Linked DNA regions of Kluyveromyces lactis. The protein of the gene in region 1 interacts with the protein of each later gene in a pairwise test. Links are inferred from orthologs where the notes say so. Each region holds a gene or a part of one and is shown on either strand. Other genes may lie near its edges.

Evidence for each region. The genes of interacting proteins can lie anywhere in the genome.
Region 2: the proteins of KLLA0_C09394g (region 1) and FOB1 interact in a two-hybrid assay, tested with the Saccharomyces cerevisiae proteins (2 studies listed by BioGRID). The link is inferred for Kluyveromyces lactis from reciprocal best matches to the Saccharomyces cerevisiae genes NET1 and FOB1.

Annotation. Positions count from the first base shown.
Region 1 is NC_006039.1:816,366-820,731, reverse strand, and holds the start of KLLA0_C09394g (uncharacterized protein), read right to left. Parts: upstream 2,808-4,366; coding exon 1-2,807. Other genes in the region: chromatin-associated RNAPIII regulator FPT1, read right to left, coding at 3,354-4,238. UniProt on the Saccharomyces cerevisiae protein: Has a role in chromosome maintenance and is involved in mitotic exit. Inhibits the action of CDC14 by sequestering it in the nucleolus. Also binds to RNA polymerase I and stimulates rRNA synthesis.
Region 2 is NC_006042.1:1,772,072-1,775,542, forward strand, and holds FOB1 (replication fork barrier binding protein FOB1), read left to right. Parts: upstream 1-1,255; coding exon 1,256-2,839; downstream 2,840-3,471. Other genes in the region: GPI-anchor transamidase subunit GAA1, read left to right, coding at 1-915; KLLA0_F19162g (uncharacterized protein), read right to left, coding at 3,169-3,471.

The sequences.
Region 1 (4,366 bases):
GAGTCAGGTGACTGTACACCAGATTCAGCAGCTTTTTTTGCAGGTGTGCCGTTGGCCGAAGATTCGGTCTCTGCTCTCTCAATTACCTTGGGGGTTATATCTCCATTTTTCTTAGTTTCTTTCGGTCCTTTTTTCGTTGTAGATTCAGCTTTCTTGCGAGCAATCTCCTCTTGTCTCGCTCTTTTGGCAGCTTCTCTTTCAGCTCTCTTTCTTTCTTGCTCCTCTTGTTTTGCTCTTCTAGCAGCTTCTCTGTCGGCCCGTCTTCTTTCCTTCTCTTCCTCTTTCGCTTTTCTGGCTGCTTCTCGCTGTAATCTTCTTTGTTCTGCTTCTTGCTTCTTTTTCAATACGGATGGTGTTATTTTCTTCAGTTTGATGTCTTCGCTATTTTCTTTGTTAAAGGAGGGTTCCGTGTTTTCTTTGTTATTTTGGGATCTTTGGGATAATGTTATATTCTCATTTTCAGCATCACCATCGGAATCCTCTATGAACTCAGGGGAGATATAATCCTTTTTATTCCTAGTAGGGGAAGGCGAAAGCTGGCGATCTATCTTATCATGTAGCTGCATCGAAGGCGACGGCGTCACTTCCTTGGGTGTATCAACAGGCTTCAATGTTATTAGCCTCGAGCTAGTGACTTTGGCAGGCTGGGAAACACTCTTCATTTGGTCGACCTTACTTTCTGATTTCTGTGGATTTTCTGAACCAGCAGCTTTTCCTTCCTCATTTCCTGGTTCATCAGCACTTTCGCTTTCTTCTGAAGAGGATGATGATGAATTAGCTGAATTTGTCTTGTTAAGCTCATTTGTATCCTGAGTTTCCTCAACCGGTACCATAACTGGTCTTAATGGATGCACATTTAGTCTTTTGAGGTTGACTTCATCCATGCTATTATCACTATTTTCTGTTTCAATGTCACTATCTGAAGATGGTTCTTCACTAACGACTGCAGAAGAAGAAGAAGAAGAAGACGAAGACTGCAACGGTCTCCTTGAGGTTCCTGTAGAGATGAATTGGGCTGCTTTTTGAGCAGCCTGTCTTGGGAGCTTTGAAGGTAGGATATTTCTTGGATCAGGTTCACTATTGTCGATATCTTTGTTTAATACCGTAAGATATGGTTTTCTCGATCGTTTATTAATATCATTTTCCTGTAAAGCTCCAGCAGCTCTTCTGAAGGCCGGAGGGACATCGAATTTAGACCCCTTCAATAATTCGAGCAACTCGGATTTCTGGAAACTACCATCCATTCGGTCAGTTGGATGAATGCATACAGTATCATTGGCCTCATTTTCACTTTCTGCATTTTCAGATTCCGATTCACTGAACCCTTCTTTTCTCGTAGTATTGCTTGATAAATGGTTATCAGCTACTAGTTCTGATGCATTTTTAGCTAATTTTTCCACTTTCGCCTCCAAAGAACTTTTCCTCTGTGGTGGAAGGTCAGCTACTTTGACATTCATGCGCTTAGTAGCATCTAGAGGACTTTTCTTTGTCGGAGAACCGTTATCATCGGCAATGGATGAAGGTGCACGACTCTGCACACTAACTGGCAATGGAGCTTTTGAGTTGACTCGGACCGGAACGCTTTCTTTGTCTTCAGTAAATTCTCCTTCAGAGCTAGAGGAATCGTGCTCGTCAGGAATATACTGTTTTTTCATTGGAATTTTAGCTGACTTAGGTGGCAGAAGGCCAGCAGCTGGAGAAGAAAGACCTTCATGCATTGTTCTTTCCATCTCCGAAATCCTGGGTTCGGGAATGCGTAGCATTCCTGAAGTAATCCTTTTATTGGTGACCACCGGAGTAGAATTAATTCTTAACAAATGCTGTGCTTGCTGAGGCATTGCTAAGAAACCTGGTCTATTAGGTGTCTCTATAACGTTCATTGGTTTCATTGGAGTGCCTGATGGTAATCTTTGCTGTTTAGCTTTACTTGGATCGACTGTTTCTGATTTTGACACAGTATCTTCTGAGCCGTTAATTTTCAATCGTTTTTGCGCAATACTTGAACTTATTCTAATTGGAGGGGATTGAGGAACAGTTGGAGGTGGTAAAATGGATTTATCACCTATTTCATCATCCCCATACTCATCCTCTTCATAGTCAGAATTTACTTGTTTCGGATTTCTTTGACTCGGAGGAGGATAAATTTGGTGCGCCAAGGGTGTAGATATCCTCAATGCAGAGTTTTTTAATGCTTGCGGTCTCCTTTTTGCAACTGTTACGGGTTGATCTAATGTTGCACCTGTCGAGGTGTTTTGTTGAGAGTTCCCGTTATTCAACTTTCTTCTCTTGGAAGAGTATAATGATTCTTGCCTATCTGGATTAGATTCTAAGTCAACATCATTTCTTAAGATTACGCGAACTGTATTGTAAACATTGAACACATCTTTTACGACAAAATCAGGATCCAAATCACATTCATCTACATCTTGTAAGGTATCGATTTCTAATTCTGTTGATAAATTGGGGTAAATTTTGTTACATTTGTCTAATATTTCCTGCGAGAGCTGATATAACGTATTTGTTGGTTTCGTAAATATTAAGAATTTTTTGAGTTTCGGTCTTGTGATATGGGAGGTCATAAAACTGGAAAGATACGCTGTATTTGTTGATACATTTGGGTCTAGAGCCCCAATTCCATTCTGAGCCGGAATATTATTCGCTAATTGGGGAGCATTTCCTCCCTGTTGCAGAACCTGTTGTTGGACAGGCAGAATAAACTGAGAGGATTCTGATGATACAGAAGGTAAACCAAAATTGAAACTTCTATTAGCGCCCGCAGGCACCAACACAACTTGCAACTTAAACATTGCAAGAAAACGATCACACCTGTTTGAGTTTATAAAAATACTCTTGCGACCAGTTCAATGGAGTTGATTTCAAATTGTAACCCCAAGGACACTGCCGATAGATACAACTGTCTCGACTATTTGTTTTTGTTTTGTTCTTTGTTGATATAATTTGGTTCTCTTCATTTATGAAATGTTCAACTTTAAAATAGATAGAGGTTTTGACAGAAATGCCGCCTTCGTTTAATATGATTTGAGAAGCTAAGCGCTATTGTATTATGTACATAAGGCAAACACGTAAATATGTTAATGGTTAGTGAATAATGATATGGAGAAGACCGCAACCTGAGGGCCTGTCATTCCTAACATCAGAGATTTTAAGTAAGATTCCTTTTTTGATGGTATCGTTTATTTTCTTTTTGTATATTTTAAATATAGATGTTAATGTATCAAATAGATGAGAGCAACTTCGTCTTGAGATATCTGCATTCAGTTGGGGGGTACAAAAGAGGCGCACTGAACCTAACAATTCGAGATCGACAAATTTGAGTAATAGAATTTTTATTTTTAGTTGATAGACATTCCGTTCCCCTTCCTAGCAGGTTTATGGACCTGTCCGGCAGGTGTTTTTTTATTCTTTGCAAATGACGGCAACCTCAATGATCTCGTAGAAGGTTGTCTTTCCGTGTCATAGGTCTCGAAATTCTCAGCCATGGATTGGAAGAAAGTGTTGAAGTTTGATTGAAGTTGGGTTGATGGCATATGTGTGTAATCAGACTGAAACGTTATATTTTTATTAGCTTTAGTGGAAGCGGAAGGAGGAGATGAAACTGGGCTGTTGTCCTGATGGACTTTAACATCATACGATAGAAGGGTAGAGCCAAGCTCTCTTTTATTAAGGTCAACCATAGATCTAAGCAGAGAAAGAGCCATTGATGTTTTAAGCTCATAAGGATCAATTGGTTTCTTCAACTCTCTGGCTTCAAAAAATATCATAAGGTCAGTGGCAATAGAGTCCCAATCGATCTTCATGGTATCCCTAATGTTGAACTCTTTAAGTAGGTTTCTGACCATGAAGATATGCTGTGAGTCTTTCAATGCTTCAACTAGACGATCAGGTAAGTCCGTTAACGTATTACTGCCGTATAAAGTTGCTATTGCAGAACTCAACTTCCATTCTGAACGTGATTTCCATAAAGAATACGTATCTTCAGCGACGCAATATTCTAAAATGTAAAACGGCTTGTCATGATCGTCAGTATCATCACTATGCGAATTGGACTTTATCTTTAAGTTTCCTGTAATTGTTTCCACAGCTCTTAGTTGCAGCTGAAACACATCTTGCATCCTATGTAAATACCTTATTATCTCTTCAATTCGCGGCACGTTCTTGATTTTGGTAAGCTCGACTTTCGGCTTATTTTCACCAGCATAAACGTATATCTTATCCATTTCTCCCAATGACTCCAGTCTATTGTTATCTTCGAGTGCCACCTACAGTTATTCACCTAATTGATTACTCTCTTCTTTTTGATTACGTGTCTGTAGTGGGTTCAAGCAATCTATATTTGAATATTCAC
Region 2 (3,471 bases), on another chromosome or scaffold:
ACGATGCTTTTGGGAATAAAAGACTCAGTACTTTCTGGAATCAAGAACTGTTACGGTAATGAAGCATTTAGTGGTTGGAGAATCCAATCATTGACTTTAAAGGCTAAGGGGATTGATGGACCACACGACATCACAACATTTGGTCGTGTGCCAGAGGCATTGTCTAGATCTGTCAATAACTTGCTTGAAAAATTCCATCAATCATTCTTCTTTTATCTTCTACTAGCACCTCGGTATTTTATATCAATCGGGACTTATTTGGCGACTGCGGTGGCTGTCTCGGTGGCCTTTGTATTCGCAGCATTAAATCAAATTTTGAATAACAAATATGGTGAACTTCCGTTGCTGTCTATATACAACATTTGGTCAATTCTAACATTCTGCATTTCTTTGGTATTTGCCTTTGCTACTTCGCAACTATTCGTTTATTTCCCTCTACCTCGAGTCCTTTTGGGACTCAGTGGTATATTTTCGGTGCTTCCGCTGCTTTCGAGAACTAGACTAAGAATCCAAGAACCTTTCTCATACAGATTTAAAGCTTTCGCATACATCTATATGGCCATTGTTTTGACTTCTCTATTAGTATTGAATTTCTCACTTGCGATTGTGATGGGCTTGCTTGCATTCCCAATGACAAGAACTACGACAATTATCGAGAGTAATCTAAGGCTGTCGATAAAAAACCTTGTCTTGCTTATAATATCCAATCCTTTCATTGCAACTTGGGCAGTGGTGAACTTCGTGGAACCAAGATTATCTGGTTTCAAGGTTTTTTACGCCCTTATTGAAGCTTCGCAACAGTTGGGGTGTTGGACATGGTACATCATTTGCTTAGGATGGTATCCGAGCTGGTTACTAGTAACGTATGCTAGTATTGATGCCATTGAAGTGCAGACGCCCATAAAAAAAGAATAAACGTCTATATTTTAGCAACAAGTGTTATATAAAAACAAAAACTACTCATCAGCAAAAGGGGCCCGCTTATTATCATCGTGTGTACATATATGTAATTGCTCATATATACTGAGAAGCTTTTTACCATGCTTATTATGTTTAGAGTATGATCGAGATCAATTTGTTAATGCTAAGCAAAACCGAAAAAAAAAAGTTTGTAACGGGTTCTTTCATCAGCTTCAGCGTTTAAAGTAACCATTCTCAACCTAATGAAGCATAGCCTGGTTGTTCCAATCTCTGCAGTGACTATATAAGATATTGTTCAGAATAAGGTAATTTGTTCTTCGTATCATTTCAAGGTATGAATATTAGTGATACTGCTGATAAAACTACCAACAAAGAGAAGTCTGGGACAACCGATGAGATGACATCGGAGAAAGATAAACTTTTGGGAATCAGAAGTCCGGAAGGCGAAGTAGCTTTGTACCCTGCTAGTGCTAGTACAGAATCTACTGAACCTGATTTTAAATTTGTTCTGCCTGTCAAAGGTTTTGATTTAGGAAGCTTTTGCGGAGAATTGGATCAAGACATGTTAATTGAAGGTAGATTACAACTGGAAAAAGAGATTAACACCGTTAAAGGTCAACTAACACAACCAATATACGACTTACTGCACTCTGATGCCTTAACCAAAGAGAATCTACTCAGAGCCAGTGATAAAGTTACTAACTCTACTGTGGAGAATAAATTCGTATTGCTAAAGAGACGCTACTACGTTCAAGAGAATTTACTACACGATGTGAAGCGTAAAGATTTAGTAGTATATGAGCCAAATGAGCTATTCGACTTAATAATGTCTGTTCATGTACTGAATTCACATGTTTCGTCTAAGGGAATCTACAATGAACTTTCGACCTTCTACGCAAACGTCACTCAATCGTTCTGTAAGTTAGTGACATCGTTTTGTTCTAAATGTAATGAAAGTGGGAACAAGATAAGCTATAAAAAATTTAAACACGAGAATATACATGCAAATCTAATTCCATTGGGTAGGTGTCATGTTGAAATCTTTGCACCTTTTGATTCGGCCTATCAAGGGAACGACAACACGGACGAGTTAAAAATTGAAGGAAAATATCCATTTGTTCTGTATTGTAGGGATTATTACTCAAGGTATGTCTGGTTAGAACCCTTGAAAAGTGTTACCTTATCTGATCTATTGCCAGTGATGACAAAATTATTGTTTTCCATGATTAGGATGCCCATCTTTATCGACACATGTACTTTGGATAGACAGGATATGTTCGATGTTTGTGAGAATATTGCAAGAATATACAAAATTAAGATCGGACTCGGAATGAACAGCTCTACCAGCTTTCAGAAAACTGGAATCAAAAGAATGAAATCGTTATTCCTCCAACATAAGGAAGAATGTTTACATGATTGGAACATGTGTTTAAAGTTGGTTGTTTCGAGACTAAACCAAAATTATTCAGACAGAGTTCGTGGTGTTCCAAGCGATTTACTATGTTCAACACAACAAGATTTACATAAGAAGTTCAGGACGTTACAAAGAAATGTCATCTCTAGACTGCTGGGGCATCATGTTGTTCAATTTGAAGAAGCTGGTGGAATGATTTACCTTGAAGATGAAAATAGCCCAAATCTACTTCTTTCCGGAGATGACAATAGTGAGGAATCAGAGCATGATTCAGAAATATTCGATGAGCTGGCCTCTTCTCGAGATGGTACTCCAATTTCTGAACAACCTTCACCACACCGAACGAACATGAATTATGATGGGATAAATCAAGAATCGGAGAAACACAGGATAACAAAAAAGAGATCTAAAAAGGTGAGACGTCCTTTAGATCAAGACAAGCATGCTACGCGAGCGTCCGTATACAACCCGTATAACATTGCTGACGTTTCTATGGAGCTATGATGGTATGTTTTTTTAGAGTAACCGTAATACAATTATAAAAATTCTTCATAAAAGAATACTTGATGATAGATATTTAGATTTAATGTAATTTATACCAAAATTTTTGATTAAAGTTCAAATTAAAGAAGTTGCGATTTATGTTGGCCCGTCCAAAGCGGGAAAATTGAAATAAAAGTGACAAACGAATGGTTTATAAGCCGGTCAAATATTAAATGCAAGTTAATACAGCCAATTCGTATGTGTTGCTTGATCATGATTCGTAACTATTTTTGAAATTTTTTAGAATGAATTGAAGTGGATGATGAAGCATGCTCAGGCATACCCAGAACCTAATCACGGTACTTGTCAAAGAAGGCCTTGTGGAATTTTTCCCATGTTTCTACCCATTCGGTCCCTGGTGGTAGGAATGTGGTTCTTAAGTGATAAGTACCTGGGACTTGTCCGAAACCAGATCCTGGAACGGTGCAAATACCAGTGTTTTCTAGTAATGCTTTACAATAAAATTCATCAGGTTCCATTTCAAGATGCTGAGCTTCCTGGATAACTTTATAAGGAAGATCGAGTTTTGGATATAGGTACATGGCACCTTGAGGTTTACGGCATTCAATACCTTCCAATCTAGAGAATGTTTC